2 linked regions of the Oryzias latipes genome follow. The protein of the gene in region 1 purifies or fractionates together with the protein of each later gene. This does not show direct contact. Links are inferred from orthologs where the notes say so. Each region holds a gene or a part of one and is shown in the gene's direction. Other genes may lie near its edges.

The links.
Region 2: the proteins of pus10 (region 1) and fam206a purify together in Homo sapiens (affinity purification with mass spectrometry; 3 studies listed by BioGRID and IntAct, counting the BioPlex papers as one, with this or other methods). This does not show direct contact. The link is inferred for Oryzias latipes from reciprocal best matches to the Homo sapiens genes PUS10 and ABITRAM.

Annotation. Positions count from the first base shown.
Region 1 is NC_019859.2:4,093,616-4,103,155, reverse strand, and holds the end of pus10 (putative tRNA pseudouridine synthase Pus10), read left to right. Parts: intron 1-44; coding exon 45-106; intron 107-998; coding exon 999-1,044; intron 1,045-1,143; coding exon 1,144-1,208; intron 1,209-1,284; coding exon 1,285-1,370; intron 1,371-1,443; coding exon 1,444-1,569; intron 1,570-1,675; coding exon 1,676-1,732; intron 1,733-2,801; coding exon 2,802-2,878; intron 2,879-3,844; coding exon 3,845-3,900; intron 3,901-3,982; coding exon 3,983-4,100; intron 4,101-4,192; coding exon 4,193-4,335; intron 4,336-4,406; coding exon 4,407-4,506; intron 4,507-4,580; coding exon 4,581-4,619; 3' UTR 4,620-4,878; downstream 4,879-9,540. Other genes in the region: RAC-gamma serine/threonine-protein kinase, read right to left, coding at 9,026-9,111, 9,222-9,324. UniProt on the Homo sapiens protein: Protein with different functions depending on its subcellular location: involved in miRNA processing in the nucleus and acts as a tRNA pseudouridylate synthase in the cytoplasm.
Region 2 is NC_019869.2:9,200,731-9,211,362, reverse strand, and holds fam206a (protein Simiate), read left to right. Parts: upstream 1-6,080; 5' UTR 6,081-6,193; coding exon 6,194-6,275; intron 6,276-6,383; coding exon 6,384-6,435; intron 6,436-6,762; coding exon 6,763-6,892; intron 6,893-6,970; coding exon 6,971-7,047; intron 7,048-7,125; coding exon 7,126-7,195; intron 7,196-7,350; coding exon 7,351-7,485; 3' UTR 7,486-7,745; downstream 7,746-10,632. Other genes in the region: zinc finger BED domain-containing protein 4-like, read left to right, coding at 3,250-3,316, 3,536-3,675, 3,763-3,999; ctnnal1 (alpha-catulin), read right to left, coding at 9,488-9,658, 10,368-10,451. UniProt on the Homo sapiens protein: Actin-binding protein that regulates actin polymerization, filopodia dynamics and increases the branching of proximal dendrites of developing neurons.

The DNA of each region.
Region 1 (9,540 bases):
CTGATGACCACACGATTCACATGAAGCTGACTTTATGTTTGCAGAGCGGCTTTGAAGTCGGCGTGGAGTTCACTCATCCAGAAACGGACTCTGACTGCCACTTCCTGTAAGTGCCAGACGCTGGCCGCTCCTGCACTCACAATGATAAGCTGTAAAAGAACGCGTGGACCTGCTGGAACTGTGTAAAGGTTTTTAAAACTCGCTGAACTGTTGTGAGGTTTTTATTATTTATTCTGGCTTTAACACACATATTTTTAATCGTGCAGTACAGACCAAAAGTTTAGACTCACCTTCCCATTCATTTGAATGAGAAGGTGAGTCCAAACCTCTGTTCTGTACTGTATATCCTTGTTTTTAATGACTCATGGACATTTTCATTCTGTCCCACAGACGTCCTGGACTGAAGGATACGATTGTTTGTGCAATCCTTCTGTCATCCGCCACAAAATCTAAAACTCAGCAAACGTGGGCATGCACCTAGTAACCGGTAGAAATGAATTTTGGGCATGGGGAAAAGTTACAACCACCACTGATGTTTTGTTGACCTTTGACCTCAGGAAGATACTTGTAATCTTTAATTTTCAAAAATAAAAATCGCCTTTACCACACCTTTAAACTCCTCCTAAAGGATTTTGATCTCTCACCTCCTAACTTCTCGAGCATCATTGTGAAGCTACTTGGGACACACACACACACACTCACACTCACACACACAAACACACGAGCCTGCAAGATTTTCTGAGCCACGTAACAGATTTTGTTTCCATTCATTTTATTCTATGGTTCTCCCACTATGATGTCGTCATTTTTTATTATTATTATATTTTTTAAGGGAGGGGGGGGGGTCGTTCACTGTGAAGTTTTCATTCAAAGGCGATGTAAGACAGAAGAAGCGTAAAAACGATCTGGACCTTCTGTCCAGGACGGCTGCGGGACAGAATCAAGTTTCTGAGTGACGTCTACAAAAGCAAAACCTTCAACTTCTGTTTTTCCAACAGAGCTAAAGTCTGTCCCGACTGCTTCAAACCCACCAAAAACAAGCAGGTGAATTGAAAGTTTCATGATTTAAGGATATTGAAACATCACTAAATTGTTGTTTGTTTTTCTTCTGTTGGGTAAAAAAACTGTTGTTTGTTTCTACAGTCGGTGTTCACCCGCATGGCTGTGGTCAAAGCTCTGGAAAAGATATCCGACGACAAGTTCCTAAAGTAAGTTTCGCCTTCAAACGGAGAGTTTTTCATCAAATGTTAGTTGTTTTTTTAATTTCTGCTTCATCCTCTGCAGGCAGTACCCCTGTCCCCCGGCCCGGCCAGCCTGCAGCTGCGTCCCTCAGGACGTGCAGTGCCTCCATGTGTCCGTCTTCATAGCAGGTAGATGTTTGGAAAATGTCCTGAAGGTGTTGGTGACGACTGAATCCCGTCTCCTCTTCCTCTGCGCGTCCAGGGAGGTACAACAAGTTCTGCCGCAGTCTGCCTCAGACTCCCTGGTTGATTGATGGAGAAAGGAGGATGGAGTCCTCGGTGGAGGAGCTGATTGCAGCGCCCATCCTGACGGCCTTCAGAGCTGGCGGTGAGTCCACGGCTGAGGCGCCGCCGCAGTCCCGAAGCCGCCACCCCATGACAGCGAGTAAACCGGGGATAACCATCATAACAAAGCCTTGCTTCTGGTTTGGCAGGATTTAATTTCTCCTCGTCTGGTAGAGAAGACGTGGATGTCCGGACTCTGGGAAACGGTGAGTTTAACGCGCCGTTTAACGGAGATGGACGCTCTATGGGGTCATGTGACGGCGGAGCCAAACTTGAAACCAGATTTTTTTGCTTCACGGTGTTTCAGGCTGCTGCAGAGCAGACGGTTCAAAACCCACCTGTCAATCGTTTCTGCACACGTTGAAGAAAAAATGTTTAGCAAAACAAAAATGTTTGTAAAAACATTAATATATAGCTGTGATGAAGTCATAAAATTTCCTGAAAAGGTGAAATTAGAATGTAAACATGTTCATTTCTGCCTTAAAATGGAGCTAATTTACATTTACATAATGGAAAATAAGCGATTTCTTGTGAGTAAACGACAGCTGTGAAGCTTGTTGACACAACCGTGTTGTGATATCACAATTGAATTGCTTGGTTGTTTACATTGACTGTATCTGAGGCCTGGAACGAGTGAGTGTGATGTCATCGCACACACCTACCGTCAGCTCCAACCAAAGGCGGTCAATTAAGTCGTCACTTTCTTGTGATACGGTCGCCGCCATGTTGAAGGCTGGACGTCGTCAGTGAGCGGTGATTGATCCAAGTCGGTCTGAGTCAACATTTCTATGGCAACCACCCTCACCAGTCAGGAGTGAGCTTGTTGGAAGGCCACACCCCTACAATTTAAAAACTGGCTACAAAAAAATCAAAATAATTAAACTTTTCAGACGCTCAATGCGAGACCACCTACGTTTGTTGAGGCATCTGATTGGCCACTTTGTAACTTATATAACTTGGACTGCAAATAAAATGGAAAAAAAAGATTAGGAAGATCAAGCACATGAGCAAGAATGGTTATTCTGACCAAGCTGTGTGTTTCTCTATAGAAGTCTATGTCTCTCGCTGGGAGGGGGGGTCACTCAGTTCAGTTGTCGTGTACAGTCAATGGTTGTGTTGCACATCACCATGTGGGTACTTGATTTTGTTTTTTAAAGTGCTTCAATCCGGAAGTCAAAGGGTTGAAATTCAGGATTGTTTTTTTAATTGAAATACATAAATCTACCTATTTCTTATTCTGTATCTTTTACTGTCATGTGGCGTGTTTTCCAACAGGACGACCGTTTGCGATGGAGCTGCAGAATCCACACAGATCCAGATTGAGCAAACTGGAGATGAAAGAGCTACAGGAGGTGATTAAAGTCTTTCTTGAGCTTTCCTTTATAATGCAAAAGTCTCAAAGCTCTGCAAAATACGTTCACACGGCCACTTCCAAAGAAAAGTCTACGTAAGCAAGTGTTTCGGGGTTCTGCGTTCAAAACTCGGGTCTTCACGCACGCTTTCAAGACCGTTTTTGGGCTTGCGTTGCTAGTTAAACAAGGTTGAACTTTGACCTCTCTGACCCGGATTTGACGTATGGACGGTGTCCCTCTTAAGTCACAAAAGAGCCAACTGTTTGTAAATTGATCATGGAGGAGAAATTCCTAGTTGTGATTTGTTCCGGATGCCAAATCTTTCATATATTGGACTGGGGCTGTGGGGAAAAAAAAAAAAAGAAGCAAGTTTTACGAGATTTGCACATCTACAACATTTCGCATGAAGCCTCTTCTGGTGCGGTTCGGCTGCAGCTCACCGCTCCCCCGGGGAGTGGGTCAAATGCGGAGAAGAACTTCCCCACTGTGGGATAAATAAAGTATCAATTATTATTAGTATTAAAAAGAAGAAGACCCCCCCTGCTTGTCCAGTGTGAACACCGTGGGCTAACCGTGCGTTCTTGAATGGGCCCAGTGAGTACGTAGCTTAAGTCAGTTTTTTTTCTACCAAAGAGGCAGATTTATAGTTTTTAGGGCTTTTAGATCTTTTTCAGAGTTCTATCAGTAATTCATTCTAATCCCAACTATTTTAAGATATTTTGCTCTTTCATCACTAAAACTAACCTATAAATGACTCGAGCTTAAACAGTTTTTCACATGCAGCGACCAAATATAGCAAATGTCAATTGTTTAAATAAAAAAAATGGTCTTTCTCATTATTTCTCATCTACCTTGCAGGACCCTCTTAAAACGAGGGGGTTCTCCTCTTGTTTAAATGTTTGATTAAATGAGATAAAAAACAAAGGAATTTGTTTCTTCAGAGCCGCTACTGTCTTCTGTTTTCAGACCATAAACAAGTCCTCAGATAAGATCAGAGTGCGAGACCTGCAGATTGTTACCAGGTGAGCGTGGATGCCTCACCTGCGCGGCCGCCTGTGGGTCGACGAGTGAGCGCGATTGACGGCGCTGTGTGTCAAACTGCAGGGAGGCCATGGGTCGGATGAAGGAGGGAGAGGAGGAGAAAACCAAGTCGTACACGGCGCTTGTTTGGACCCAGAGGCCCATTCAGAAAGAAGACATTGGCTTCATCGATGAGATCAAGGTCTATCTGGTCCAACGATCAGAAGAAACTAGACTTTCTTTCTCCATGCGCAGCACAGCAACACATTCTGAAATGCCGTTTTGTCTCATCAGGACCTGACTCTAGGTCAGAAGACTCCTCTAAGGGTTTTGCACCGGCGGGCTTTGGCGGTCCGACAGCGAGTCATCCACAGCATGAACGCCCGCTACGTGGACGATCACCACTTTTACCTGCGGCTGAAAACGCAGGCCGGGACGTATCCTCACTGCTGCTTAGTTTAATTTTGTCAGAGCCGCTGCGGGAAACTTCTTAACGCCTGACGAACAGCTACATCAAAGAGTTTGTGCACGGAGACTTCGGTCGCACTAAACCCAACCTGTGTGAGCTGCTGAAAACCGACACGGACATCCTGGAGCTGGACGTGGAGGTGGGGCCCTCGACCTAAACGTTTCTGACCCGACGTGTCCAAACGTTGAGTCTAACTTTTGTTTCCTGTGTCAGTCTGTGGACGTGGACTGGCCTCCCGCCATCCCAGAGTGACCCCGGAAGATGTTCTTCATCGGAGAAAAGCTCACTTCAGGGAGGCGGCGTGGTGGCTCTCTGGAGGGGAGGAGCTTGAGCCAAGCTCTCAGCTGACCATATTGGTTCTCGTTATCCTTTCTGTTGATCAGTCGACCTGCATCTCAGGTTTAGTGACACTTGACAGTGTCTTCGTTCTGTTTTAAGTTAGTTCTGTAAAAGCGTCTGCAAGCAGAGATGATCTTTGTTTTCGATTAAAAAGAAGTGTTGGCAAAGGAAACCGTGTCAGCGCTGACTTTTTTACTGATTATTTAGAGGAAAAATGCTCCTCAGGAAACTCCAATCAGTATCAGTGTCCAATGAGGAGCTTCACACATTTGACGAGGAAACAGCTGTGTGTGCTACAGATGCAGGGACGTCTGTTGGATTTTCTTCAGAAATTTGCTGTCACTTGAGGTCCATCCATCCATCCATCCGTCCGTCCCTTTCAGACTCAAAGGGCTGGAACCCCACCCAGCAACTGTTGGCTCACATTCACACCCAGCCCTTGTGCTATCTTATGGGGTCAAAATGACCCCACCCTTACATTGACGTGTTACCCCTACCATGATAAGGGTGGAGAGGATTTCATGTAATGCATGGACACCAGTGAAGATCTGAAGAAAAACGGTTCAGCGCACTGTCTAGTGGGTCTAAATGACCCAACTCCCAACGTTAACGTGCCTTGGATAGCACAAGGGTTACGGGTAATTTAGAGACACCAATTAACCTCTGAAGCATGTTTTTGGACTGTGGGAAGAAACCAGAGTTCCCACAGAGAATACACACATGCACAGGGAGAACATGCAAACTCCACACAGAAAGATTCAAACCCTCTTGATGTGAGGGAAGAGTGCTAACCACTACACCACTCTCCAGCTCTCCTCTTGAGATCAATTTAGTTATTTTTTTTACCTAATACTCATAAATGAGACGCTTCAGAATTCATTACTCATCTTTCAGTATTTGTCATTTACTACCTCAATTCAACTAAGAGTTTGTTGGATTCTGCTCTGCTAAAAGAAGTAAAAAAACAACTACAATTTTGATCTTTAGATGCTGTCAAAATTCACCAGAACTGTCAATCAAATCTGGACAACTAACCGCATGTAAACCTTCACATTCCTTGCAGTCTTTTTGTCAGAAGTCAGAACTCTGTTTCCCCCTCTGGTCACCAGCGGGAACTATGTCCAGAGTCCCGAATGCACTTCATCTCCCAGCAACCCCAGCGTGCACTTCCTGGATGCCACACAACTGAGTCATATTCACTCAATCACAGTCGACTTAAGGTGCCACATAGGGAGAAGGATTGTTTGTGCCACTCTGTTTTTATTACCGAGTGTTGGAGCTGGACCAGAGCTTCTGGATCCTGACTACCCTGTCTCTCCTCTGATGATCTCCTGCCTGTTATCGATTCCTGCCTGCCTGACCCGGAGTTAGCTTTGTGGACTTTTAGCTGAGCTAATAAACCTGCTGCACTTGAATCCAGCCTTTTGCTTGTTCTTGTGACTCTGTTGCTCAACTTGACTTGGATATTTCACTTTGCTAAAGCCCAGTTGAGAAGAAATTACAGCTTTTAACAAGCTCTTGAGGCGTTTTTCTCATGATGGACATATAGAAAATTGCAGTAGCTCTAAGTTGCATTTCTGAGCGTTTCTTCATTTAAATCGTGAATCAGGAATGGAGAAAAAAAGTCCTGTTAGGGGGGAAAAAGATATTTGTTACATAGAAAATAAGGTACTTTAAATACAAGTTTCTTTGGCTCAAAGAAGCAAAAACCATCCAAAAAATAATAAAGAGATGGACACAACAGAACCCCTGAAATGTTTTTCTTTTTAATTTAATTCAAAATAAATACTACCACGGCAATGCAAGTCCACTACTGGGGTCTTGCTCTAACGTTTTGGTAAGAAAACAAACAAGCAAAATGATCCCAAAAACAAATAAAATAAGAGACTTTAATGCATCCATCGTCATCTTTTCAGCAACTTCCAAGAGGTGCCTCTGTTTGTTTTACAATATACAAGAGATCACTGCCAAGAATGATGAAACATAAATAAAATAAAAACGTATAAAAGTTAGGGGGGTGGGGGGGCCCTCGAGGAATGGTGGAACAACCTGATGAGGCCTGTACTATAAAACAAAAAAAGTCTGCCATGGTCCCGGGCGAAGGGCCACAGAACCCGCTCAGAGGTTCCAGGAGCCCCTCATTCTCGTGGGCCACGCTGACGGGAGGAAGGTGGGGTCAGGAAGCATCCTCCGTGTACGGTTAAGAGTCAGCAGGTGGGAAAAGAAAAAGCTTCACGGTCTAGTCCTCGTATTTTTACAACTTCTTCTCCTCTTAAATGCAGTTCTGAGTGGGTTCCAGGTCTTTATTGTCTTCAGCAGGTCTGCCTCGTCGCTATGGACAAAAAAACAGGGAAAAAAAAGAAGCATTGCATATGTACATCGACAAGTAAGTGACTTTTCGCGGCAGTTCTTCGTCTTCTCGGCTCAGTTTTCTTGTGACACGATTAATAACTCAAAACGTTTTCACACTTGGAAAAACAAGTAAATAAACTCTCTGGTAATACTGACAGGATAGATGTGGCAAAAGCTCTGTATGAGGAGCTGGAAGCCTCTTCTGATAGCATCTGTGTGATAAACTAGACTTTCTTTCCTATTTAAAGAAGTATTTGTCGGTTTGTGTGTGGATAAGTAATTTAGCCCGAAAACATGCAGCTTCTGCAGCTCTCCAGCCATTGATATGCTCATCTTCATCACATAAATATTTGGGAGCGGCACGGCGTGATCCGAGGAGTCTGGACAGACGCCGGCGGCGCCCTCAGAGAAATCAGATCAGTGGCTGCTCCTCGCCACCAGGAGGAGTCTCGTTTGACGTGGAGGAGCCCAGTGAATTCACAGTATTCAAGACTTTACACACTTCAGAGGGCTCCTCTGGCCGAACCCGAGAGCCCACGTCCCCCGAGGACAGCATCGAGCCGCGATCTGGAGCAGATGCAGACCGAAAAACAGCAACGAGACCCTTTCCTCCTGGTCCTAACACCTCCTCTACACTTTCATCCTTTAGGATCACTTCCCAATCTCAAAGATTTACTGCACCAGAACGGAAACTGGGGCTCCTGAGTCTGTTCAAAACATAAACCGGAAAAGTTAAGGAGGACCAAACTCCTGAAAGACATGACTGTGGACACCATGTCCCCCCCCGTCAGTCCTCCAGCTCATTCCAGTGTTTGTAGACTGGGTTCGCTTTAACATTTCTGGAGAATAAATACATAAATTAAAAAAAAGCAGCATTTCAAACATCTTTAAAGGAAGATTAATTTGACAGAAAATATATCAAAAAAGCATTTTTGCAAACAAAGTGACGCAGTAGAACTTAAACGATGGATTTCCAGAGGCATGGCCTCAGCGTGGGCGGCGCAGGACTCGCACACACCTGAACCCGCGGCGTCCGGTTCGGTGACCTCCGGCTGAACGCTTTTCTGCGCCGTGACGGCATCGCGTCCTTCCTCTGCGCCCGACAGCGGTGGGGAGCAAACGGAGGAGAAGCAGAAGCGTTGGGAGCAGAGGAGGCCGCCGCCCTCCGCCGGCTGTGGGGAGCGGCTGGACGGGCGTGTGCTCTGCGGGCGCCTGAGTGAACTATGCGATTCCAGTAGTGTTTCAAAATAAAAGGAGCTATGAGGGTGAAACGGAACGAAAGGAACGCATCCATTCTCTTTTTTTAACAGCAATTGCCGTTGCCATGGTATTGGGAAATGTGCGCTGCCATGGCAACTGGGAGGAATTTTTTTTCTTCTCTTTTATCCAAACCATGCACTTCTCCTCTACAAAGACTGACCCTTCATATCCCAAAACCCACCCACCCTTATCCAAAAAAAAACAAAAAAAACGATGACAAAACAAACAAAAACACCCTGTTGGTATGATACGAAACATCTGCACACGTAAGGCAACATTTTTGGTTCTTTGTTCCCTAAAACGGCTCTTCCAAACCAAGTGCAAAAAGTCAAAAGAAGAAGAAAAACGGGCAATAACAACAAAAACCATGGACCTGGGTCAAAATACTGACAGAGAGACAAATAAAATAAATAAGAACATTGCCTTCTGCAGTAAAGAGGGCTGGAAATGTAGGAGACACTTTTTTTTCTTTTGTATCTTGTTTTTTTTTTCTTTAGTGTGGGGAAACCGGCTGGAGTCTATCCCACTGTGCAAAAACCTCTTTTAAAGTCCCTAAAAAGACGTCTCCTCATCTGCAGGGCGGCAGATGAGGAGAAAGAGGGGAGACTGTTTTTTTTTCTTTTCTTTTTTTCTTTTCTTCCTAGAATGGCTACGTGTTTTCCTCAAAATGGCCACGAAATGAGAGGCTTCTGGCCGGGCCGGGGCGCTCACTCCCGCCCGCTGGCTGAGTAGGAGAATTGTGGGAAATGAGGCCTTCGCTCGTTGTCTGCTGCATCCATCCCGTCCTCGTCGTCTGCAGAGACAAACACACACAGTTCTAAAAAGTCTTGAACGCTAAAAATCTTTTTTGTTTTTTGGTGATCATGATTGAACAAATGCTGCTTTCTGGCTTTACTGGCTTACATTTCTCTGGCGGAGTGATGGTGATGGTCTGTGCTGTGAACTCTTCATCAAAGTAGCGCGTGTCCGTCTCTGAGGAGACCTGCGGCTGGAACGGTGGAACCAACTGAAACAGACAGGAAGCAGAGGAGCTTCAGGAGCCTTTTCTGGGCCCGGTTTCAGCGGCGTCTGGGAGTCACAGCGGTAAATAATGCAGAACGTCTGAGCCACACGAGGCGGTTATGGGCAGAAAACTCCAGCAGACAATACAACCATGAGCTGTTTGACTCCAAAACCAGATTTTCCCTCATCATCACTGCTTACCTCTGCAGTTTGAGTTTAT
Region 2 (10,632 bases), on another chromosome or scaffold:
TTCTTTTCTCTCCTGCTATACCCCTGATCTATTTATGTTGGCATAAAACATTTCATTTCTGTCTACCTTTTAAGCATGTGCAGCAATTTTCCAGCTCACTCCTTGTTTCTATTCTGGAAATCATCCCCACAGAAATGACTCCTAAAGCTCCTCAGACATTTGTCTCCACCTTAAGTTCTCTAAAAGAAAAATAAGATTCATCTAAACCTGATCAGTAAGATTGCCAACAAGTTTTCACAAATGCTATGCTAGTTTGTTTTCATTGGGACATCACCCTGGTACTGGTTGAAAGTATCAACGTATCCATCTGCTCTTAGTTTACATGATGTTTTACTGTTGAAATCTAAGTTATTGCAAATCTATTCAATACTTCCTGTTTGGAACACCATTTATAGTCAGTGGTTCAGATGCTTTCCAGTATCCACAAATGTGTGGCATTATTTCTGTAATATTTAAGACAGTAACACCTGATATTTCTCATTAAAAAGCTTTACTGAACCTTTTCGTTCCAAAATAAGGTAAAAAAAAAAGTCTCCGCTGTCACTTCTGATTAGTTTGCAGTAGTCAGAATATCTGGCATTGAACAGATTTTCTTTCGCAAAATGAACTTATCACGCGAGAAATGATCTGTTACAAATGGAGTTGAACTTGTAAAATACTCGTATGGCCACTAGAAAACATTTAGTTAAAAAGTTCATGTTACCAGGCTGAGATTGCACAAAGGTTGTAGTGATGACTGCATCATGTAGCTTGTGTGTTTTTTTGTCCTTATGTAACTTGTCCAATACATTAACAATACAGCACAAAGCACACAGGTCTGTTACACTGAGGCACATGGTGAAGACAGATGTATGGCTGAAGGGGGGCTTTTATTTCCTGACTTCTGATCATTTTATTAGCTCAGCTAATGACGGTTACTCCAAAATTAGATTTAAGATGACCTCATTTTTCTTGGAAACGCAATACTATGGAGAGAAATTAGACTCAGTCGGATTTGTGCGTGCGTAATTCGTGATTTGTGCGTAAAATTAGGATTTGTGTATGCGTGATTTGTTACTCACATAATACGTTTTGTGTATAAGTTAAAAAAAATATAAAATGAAAAAAATACAAAATTCAATTTACGTATGCACAAATTAAGATTACAACAGCTTGAAACTACTTACACACACATCTTTAAAAAACACGCACGAATCCCTTGTTACGCACACACGAAGCCAAAGTTACGCACGGATCTGACTACCGTGAGACTCTTTTCACGTCTCACAAATTCGTCCGTAAGTGCTGCATTTAAATACCAGTGGAATGCTCGGTCATTAGAATTTTCCTATCAGCCTTCCCTTCTAAACGTATCCAGACAATGACTCAATCAATACATGAAGACAGTAGATGTTAGTGTTGAACATAGAGGCTACTTACTTCGGGGCGCTGACCACCGAGATGCGCCGCCATTCTTCCGGTGTCTCTCTCAGTCTGACTGCCTTTGATTTTTCCGGAAAAAAAAACAGTGCCTCCTACTGGTCGTTCCTGTTACGCATTTTGTATCAATTCGGTGTCTCGGAGAATAATATACTTTTAATATATATATTAGCGTTTAAGAGTGAACGTCATATTCTCAGATAATTATTTTTATTTTCCTTTAAAGTTTTTTTAAGCCCTGCTACACCCACTGAAGGAAATACGTTTAGAAGGGAAGGCTGATAGGAAGATTCTAATGACCGAGCATTCCACTGGTATTTAAACGCAGCACTTACGGACGGATTTGTGAGACGCGAAAAGAGTCTCACGGTAGATCCGTGCGTAACTTTGGGTTCGTGTGTGCGTAACAAGGGATTCGTGCGTGTTTTTTAAAGATGTGTGTGTGTAAGTAGTTTCAAGCTGTTGTAATCTTAATTTGTGCATATGTAAATTGCATTTTGTATTTTTTTCATTTTATATTTTTTTAACTTATACACAAAACGTGTTATGTGAATAACAAATCACGCACAAATCCAAAGTTATGCACAAATCCTAATTTACGCACGCACAAAGCAAGAATATGCATACACAAATCCTAATTTACGCACAAATCAAGAATTACGCACGCACAAATCCGACTGAGTCTAATTTCTCTCCATACAATACTACCGGTAGTTTTGATTGTCGTCCTCTAGTGGACTGGGATGGAACTGTTTCAGATTAACAGTGCATGACTACCTCCAGATTGGGCTTTTATGTTTTTAACTGCAGAATTATTCCACCTAAGGCAAATTCTGTCCAACACGAGTCTGTTTTTACAGCTTCTAGCCACTTTTCTAGTGACTCTTTCTTGGATCAGAAGTGAGGTTGCTTTGCTGATGCGGAGAACAAGATAACATGGAGATCATCTCCTGAATTATTTGCTCTCCAGTAGGTTGAGGCTGGCCATGTGCTCGTCCAAGGACTTGACTCCAAAGCCGTTGCTGTTATTGCCATTCAGGGCCGCGTCTTCTTTAACTGGAGCGGACGTGTGCTGCGTCTCCCTCCAGTCCTGAGGGGAACTGAGGCTTGTACGCTCTGATTTATGCTGCAACAGAGGAGATTCTGATTAGGGGACAAAGACATTTAAACACTGATGCTTTTCCCCCAACTGAGAACTTAATGAAGTGAATGTTGTTCTAGACGGCATCTTTGTGTTTTGGGATATTTTTCATTAGACCCAGTTCTATGAAAATGGTCTTTTTGGTGTTTTTAATATGTTCCTGTGGCATTTTTCTGATGATAAGGGATATATATATATATATATATATATATATATATGTTTGGATGTGCCGCGCCAAAGTGTGTTTATCAGGAAACAAACTGTATCAACATGTCGTGGGTTTGTCGGATGGAGTTCTGCTTGATCCTGGATCGTCCTAGGAAGTGTTCCCCGGTGTGGAATAATTTTGATCTCGTGACGCCATACAAGGTAAATCGTTTTCTCCTTTATATACTATTTTTTACGGTGGCGCATTGCACTCACTTTATCAGTTTATCAAGTGAATGACCCGTGATACATATGATAGTCAGTTAGAGAGCCTTACAGTTGCTTTATTCATGTTATCATGTAATTATGAGATCCTTATCCCTAATCATGAGATAGGGTGTTTATTTTTTTTAACAAGTGAATGCAATGTTCTGGTAAAAGGTTTGAATTGTTTTCAGATAAATAAACTTTTTGTGTTATTGTAGGTGAAGTGTCGGCTCTGCTCCACAGAGCTATCTTATATCAATAAGAGCACTTCATCAATGCTGAGGCATTATAGAGCTACGCATGGCTATGAAGAATTGGCAGATACTCGTGAGAGTACCCCAGGTATTTATTAAATTCTCTCTAAAAATTGTGCTAAAAAAAAAAAACACGCATGCAAACAGACAGGCTCCAGGCCAGGTATCGAACATCCAACCCTCTTGTTGTGAGGCGACAGTGCTAACCACTGCTCCACCACGTCGTATTATGTCTATTTGATATTGTTTGTAAAAATTACAGTCATTTTATTAAGCTTTTGACAAAATAGTTCCTTTTGGCTTGCAGTTCCTAACAAGCAAGCAGTGGATGAGGCAGTGGTCAATATGATCATCAAAGACTGTCAGCCACTCAGCTTTGTTGAAAATGAGGGATTCAGGGAGCTTCTGAAGCTTATTTTACCCTCGTATGCTCTACCAAGCAGGAAGGTATGTTTAAGAATGTTTATTATATGTTTGTACTAACTATATAACTATATTTTATTGGTGTAACAGTATTTGTATGGTTGTTTTCAGACCATCAAGGACTTGGTGAGCCAGAAATATGAGGAGGAAAAGGAGAAAACCAAAAAGGACCTCCAGAGTGCCGTTGCTGTTACTTTAACAGCTGATATGTGGACGTCTATGAATATGGAGGCATATCTAGCCATGAACTCCATTCATCAGTCTTGGCAGTGCAGCATTTTCCTCAGAAACACACTGCAGAAAACATTGCCACGGTTAAAAGGAGCCTCATGGAGGAGTGGGGCATAGCAGGAAAGGTCAGGTGTCTTGTCACTGATGCAGCAGCAAACATGACTGCATGTGCTTGAATGCTGCAAATACGGCATACCATTTGTATAGCCCATTCCCTGAATTTAACTGTGAGAAAATCATGTGATCAAATCCCAACAATAACTGAAATACGCAACAAAACACGACACATTGTGACATACTTTCGATGGAGCATGACTGCTAAAGAGAAGCTCACTCAAATACAGCAACAGCTGGGAACACGGGGCCATAAATGAATAAACGAGGTGCCAACACGACGGAACAGTACCTACATGTTTGAAGGAATGACTGAGCAGAAGGAGGCAGTCTGGGTGTCACTGGCCTCATCAAAACCTGACATCACTCCACTGACTCCAGAAGAATGTCAGATCATTGAAGAGATGCTCAGGGTTCTAGCTCCTTTTGACCAAGCTTCAAGAGGAAAAAAGGGTCTCTGGGTCGAAGGTCATTCCCATGATGAGAATGATCCACATTGAGCTCCAACGTCAGGCCACAACTGTAACAAAAATAGCTGCTCAGCAACTGGCTGAAAACCTGAGGAAGCGGCTAACTAACCCTATTTGCGGCATGGAATCTCTGTGTGATGACTCTGGCAACTCTGTTAGATCCCAGATTTAAAAAGAATGGATTTGTTAGTCAGCAAAAGGCAAGTGAAGCGGTGAAGAGACTGCAGTCAGAATGTGCAGAAGAAATGAGGAGCCAAGAGAAGAAGAGCCTAGCTCTTCACATGGGTCAGAACCCAGTTCAGGTATGAAAATACATTTCAGTGGCACTTTGTGATATGATATATCATGTGATAATAAAGTAATGATTAACTATTTTTTTAGGGCACAATCTCTGGAAAACTTTAGATCTGGAGGTTGCAGAGACCCAGAAGACGAGGAACGCAACAGCTGACTCCATTATTGAAGTCTAACGTTACCTGGCAGAAACAAACACACCCAGAAACCAAGATCCTTTGCAATATTGGAAATGGAACCAGGAAATATACCCACATCTTTATCAACTTGCACTTAAAACCCTCTGCTCACCATCATCGTCTGTACCATGCGGCTGGGGAGCTGGTTTCTCAATAAAAATTCATGAACTAATCACTTTTTGTCTTTTATTTCATATGATTTAAAAGTTAAGATGACAAATGTGCACAAAAGTTAAAAAATTGTAACTCTGAATTTTTACTCTAATTTGCTATATTTTACATACTAACTCAGTTTTAGCATTTACACCAACAAGGAATTTCTTTACCTGCAATGATTTTATAACTACTGCTGGGGTCACTATTGGGTGACCAACACAGTATCAATACAGTGACAACACAGTTTGTTTAGTGTGTCAATACACACCTTGAGGTATCATCGTCCCATCACTAATATATATATATATATATATATATATATATATATATATATATATATATATATATATATATATATATATATATATATATATATATATATATATATATATATATATATATATATATATATATATATATATATATATATATATATATATAAACTTAAGATTAAAATTGTGTTTCTGAGTTTTTATTCAAGGTTTTGTGAATCAGGAGCAGACGGAAAAATGCCGTTGGAATAAGACTGTGGTTCACAAGCTTCCTGCTTTGCTCCATTCTGATGCATCCACTTGTAGACAAATTGATCCAAGAAGTGATCATTTGGCAATAATCATTTTAATTAAAAAGTGAGTGTTTATAGGACTTTAAAGTTGGAATTACACAGTTTGTGAAAAAAAATAACATTGATTTAATAAGATTTAACATGGGGAATGTAAACAAAGGGGTAAAAAACACAAACTAGATTAACTGAGTTTTTTAAGAAATGGTAGGGATAAAGAATTGGTGGATTTTAGCTCCCTTTTTTTCCCTTTTCTTTTAACATGTTAAGCTAATTTCGACCAAACTTAGTGGGGAACTACTAAAAATCTTTTGTGTTTTTAAAAGTCCTACTATTCAGTGGAATAAAAAAATAAAAAAGTAATAAAAAAAATTAAAACTCCTTTTTAGGTAGAGGGTGGAACTCTTTAACTCCTGCAGAAGTAGTCGGACGTTTTTAAGGGAGGGACCCAGCGTGTCACGCCCCCAGTTGTCCGTTGAACACACACCAGCGACGCAGTTTTAGGTGTTTAATTTTGTTATTGCATTTAAGATTTAATGGACAGCGAGACGCAGAAAGATACTGAATTAGAGCCGCCATCAATTATCGACCGATACTACACACGGTGGTACAGAGCAGGTAAGAAAGTCTTGATTAATTAATGTCCGTCGATATTTTTATTTAACTGGATAAGTAATATGTTCAAGTATATTGGCTTAAAAATAAGCAATTGTTTCTATATTTTAGATATGAAGGGGCAACCATGCGAGGACCACTGTATTCTCCAGCATTCAAACAGGTGGAGTTAATTAGTAGTTTTCTTTGCTAACGCGTTACGCATGCGCAGTGAGTTGTCTCGGTACCATTGAGAATTCCTTTAGTGTAAAAATCCCAATATATGTTATAGTTGCAACAGAAGACTAAATCCTCTAAATCTAAAACAACTTGAACAGAAAATATTACATTTTTGTTCAAGTTTAGGTGATTTATAGTTGCAGTTAAGTCTGCATTTTATACACACACCAGACAGTTACTTTACTGTCATTTTCCACTCAGCTTATAGTTTATTTACTTCTAGAATAAATATTGTCTAAAGACTTTCATATATATATTTTTTGCTCTCCAGAATATGTGTCGTCACTTTAGCAGAAACCCATCCGGTTCTCCAGAATGGACGCACAATCAAAACCATAAACTACCAGATCAGTAACGGCTGCAGTCGCTTAAACAATAAAGTTTCTGGAAAATCCAAGAGGGTAAACTATTTTTGTGCTCTTATTTCTAGTATCAAAATGTTTCCTTTTTCATGTTTTACTCCCCTCTCCCCAAAACAGGGAGGTCAGTTTCTTACAGATTTTGCACCTTTGTGTAGAATTACATGCACAGATGAGACCAAGTATACAATCTACAGGTGAGATTTCCCGCCCTTTATCCTGGATTCATCTTCCACTTTATGGAACGTTTTTGTAACTTAAACATTTGTCTTCAGCTGCATCCGCGGCCGTCTGCTGGAGGTCAATGAGAATATTTTGGAAAGACCAAATCTGTTACTAGAAAAGGCAAGTTTGTTTACGTCATCAAAGCTGAACATTTATGTCTCTTTAAATGTAGAATTTACCGTCTGGATACCAGAACTACATCAGAACACTTTCAAACCAAAAATCCTGTAATATTTCATCCTTTTTGACACATTTATTCTCTTTTGTTCAATCAGCCGTCAACTGAAGGATACATCGCTGTCATCCTCCCAAAGTTTGAGGAAAGCAAGAGTGTGACAGAAAATCTGTTGAGCAGGAAAGAGTTTGAGAGCATCGTCTCCAAGCGTGATCAGCAGCCACAAGCGTCCTGATGAAGAGTGCCATCTTCAAGCTGGAACAGCAGTTTTTGGGTTTTTTTTCCTCCCCATCAGCTCAAAACACATGGAGTACAGACTGAATGGTGCATTGAAAAATTATGTATTAATCAATACTATTGTTGATTTTGATTCTAACAGGCCTTGCTTTTTTTGTGGTTGTTAAATTACTTTTGGAGAAAATAGTGAGTCGTTCATTTTTTTGTTGTAAAAAAAACAACCGGTGACTTTTTTTTAATTAAAAAAAATATTGTTTATTTCTTCTTTTCTTCACGTTTCAGCTGTCAAAAGAAGAGGTGATCCAAAACTAGATATGATTTTTTTCACATCTTTAACTGCTCTCACACAGTTAAATCATCATCAGACTGCCTCTAGAAATAGCAAAACCATCACTGAATAGGCTTCAAGTACCATAAATACTTAGAAATATATCATATTAATACATGCAGTTGAGTTCAGATCTTTGACTATATATGAGAGCTGGACTGAGTGTGATGTCACCCATAGCAAAGGACTTCTGGCTCCAACGAAGTCGATTCAGTCATTTTTTTGCCTGTTGGAGCCTGAAATTGTCAGTAAGCAAGTGATTGGTCCAAGTCGATCTGAGTCATTGTTTCTATGGCAACCCCTCTAACCAATCAGGAGTGAGCTTATTATACCACCTAAAGCGGGGGTAATCTGTTAAATGTTCCATGTGGGGGGGTTACCTGTTATTGAGGTGTCTGGTCAGTTTATACGTTGAATAACTTGCAAAAAAGAAAAAAACATATAAAATTATCAAGATTATGTAAAAATAAGGTATCAGGGTAAGAAAGATTATTCTGACTAACAAAAATGCTAACTAGTGCTTTATAAAAGGTCTATGAGATTTTGGTTTCTTGGAACCAGTGGATACTTCCTGTTTGGGACGCCAGGGGGAGGGGTTACTCAGTCCAGTCCTCATTTACAGTCAGTGGTTCAGATGCTTCCCAGTATCCACAAATGCGTGGCACTTCTGAATAATTTCTGTAATATTTAAGACGGTAGCATCTGATATAATTTCTCGTTATCCCTTGTGCTATCCTAGGCACTTTACCATTGGGAGTTGGGTCATCTAGACCCACTAGACAGTGCTCTGAACCTTTTTTCTTCAATGATTTGTGATCTTCACTGGTGTCCATGGATTACATGAAATCTTTCCACCTTTATCCACCTTAGTCATGGTAGGGAGAAGACGTCAATGTAAGGGTGGGGTCATCTAAGATAGCACAAGGGTTAAAAAGCTTTACTTAACCTTTTCGTTCCTAAATAAGGTAAAAAAAAAAAGTCTCCGCTGTCACTTCTGATTAGTTTGCAGTAGTCAGAATATTTGGCATTGAACAGATTTTCTTTCGCTAAATGAACTTATCACACGTGAAATGATGACAAATGAAGTTGAACTTGTAAAATACTCGTATGGCCACTATAAAACATTTAGTTAAAAGGTTCATGTTACCAGGCTGAGATTGCACAAAGGTTGTAGTGATGACTGCATCATGTAGCTTGTGTGTTTTTTTGTCCTTATGTAACTTGTCCAATACATTAACAATACAGCACAAAGCACACAGGTCTGTTACACTGAGGCACATGGTGAAGACAGATGTATGGCTGAAGGGGGGCTTTTATTTCCTGACTTCTGATCATTTTATTAGCTCAACTAATGACGGTTACTCCAAAATTAGATTTAAGATGACCTCACTTTTCTTGGAAACGCAATACTACCGGTAGTTTTGATTGTCGTCCTCTAGTGGACTGGGATGGAACTGTTTCAGATTAACAGTGCATGACTACCTCCAGATTGGGCTTTTATGTTTTTAACTGCAGAATTATTCCACCTAAGGCAAATTCTGCCCAACAAAGTCTGTTTTTACAGCTTCTAGCCACTTTTCTAGTGACTCTTTCTTGGATCAGGAGTGCTCCACAGAAGTGAGGTTGCTTTGCTGATGCGGAGAACAAGATAACATGGAGATCATCTCCTGAATTATTTGCTCTCCAGTAGGTTGAGGCTGGCCATGTGCTCGTCCAAGGACTTGACTCCAAAGCCGTTGCTGTTATTGCCATTCAGGGCCGCGTCTTTTTTAACTGGAGCGGACGTGTGCTGCGTCTCCCTCCAGTCCTGAGGGGAACTGAGGCTTGTACGCTCTGATTTATGCTGCAACAGAGGAGATTCTGATTAGGGGACAAAGACATTTAAACACTGATGCTTTTCCCCCAACTGAGAACTTAATGAAGTGAATGTTGTTCTAGACGGCATCTTTGTGTTTTGGGATATTTTTCATTAGACCCAGTTCTATGAAAATGGTCTTTTTGGTGTTTTTAATATGTTCCTGTGGCATTTTTCTGATAATGAGGGACATACATATCTATATATATATCTATATCTATATATATATATATATACATATATATATATAAATCTTCAGATTAAAATTGTATTTCTGAGTTTTTATTCAAGCTTTTGTGAATCAGGAGCAGACGGAAAAATGCCGTTGGAATAAGATTGCGGTTCACAAGCTTCCTGCTTTGCTCCATTCTGATGCATCCACTTGTAGACAAATTGATCCGTGTACGTCTTTGTTTTCCTTGTCCAAAGTGACATCTGGTTCAAAAATGTACGGCTGGATAGCTGGGAGAGAACAGGAAAGACATTCACAGCTATAACTCAGAGGTGAATTCTTAACGCACTCCTTCTGCTCTGCAGAAACTATGTCCTAGAAAACGACACAGGTTTTATGATTTTGTCTAAAAACAACACAACTATAATTAAAAGACCACTGGGAGGGCTTTTAGAATAGATCAAAAGATGGATTTAAAGTGGCACTTTAAAGAGTTTAGTGTTCAGTTTAGTGTCTGGATGTCACCTTTTTGATGAGCTTGTTACAGAGTGGAAGGAGGGAGGCGACCACTGTCATTAGACTTCTGCTTGCTTGAATGGTGGAGTCCACCTGCAGACAAATACAAAGAAAAGACATTTTCGCTTAAAATTAAATGTTTCAGATTGATTGAATTGGGTTCATTTACCCAAGCTTTTACATTAGCAGTTGATATGTTTAAAGGTATTTTTTCTTTCTTTTTTCCCTCTTTTGATGGCGGGCTTTGGTGGGAAATATAAAACGTTAAATATTG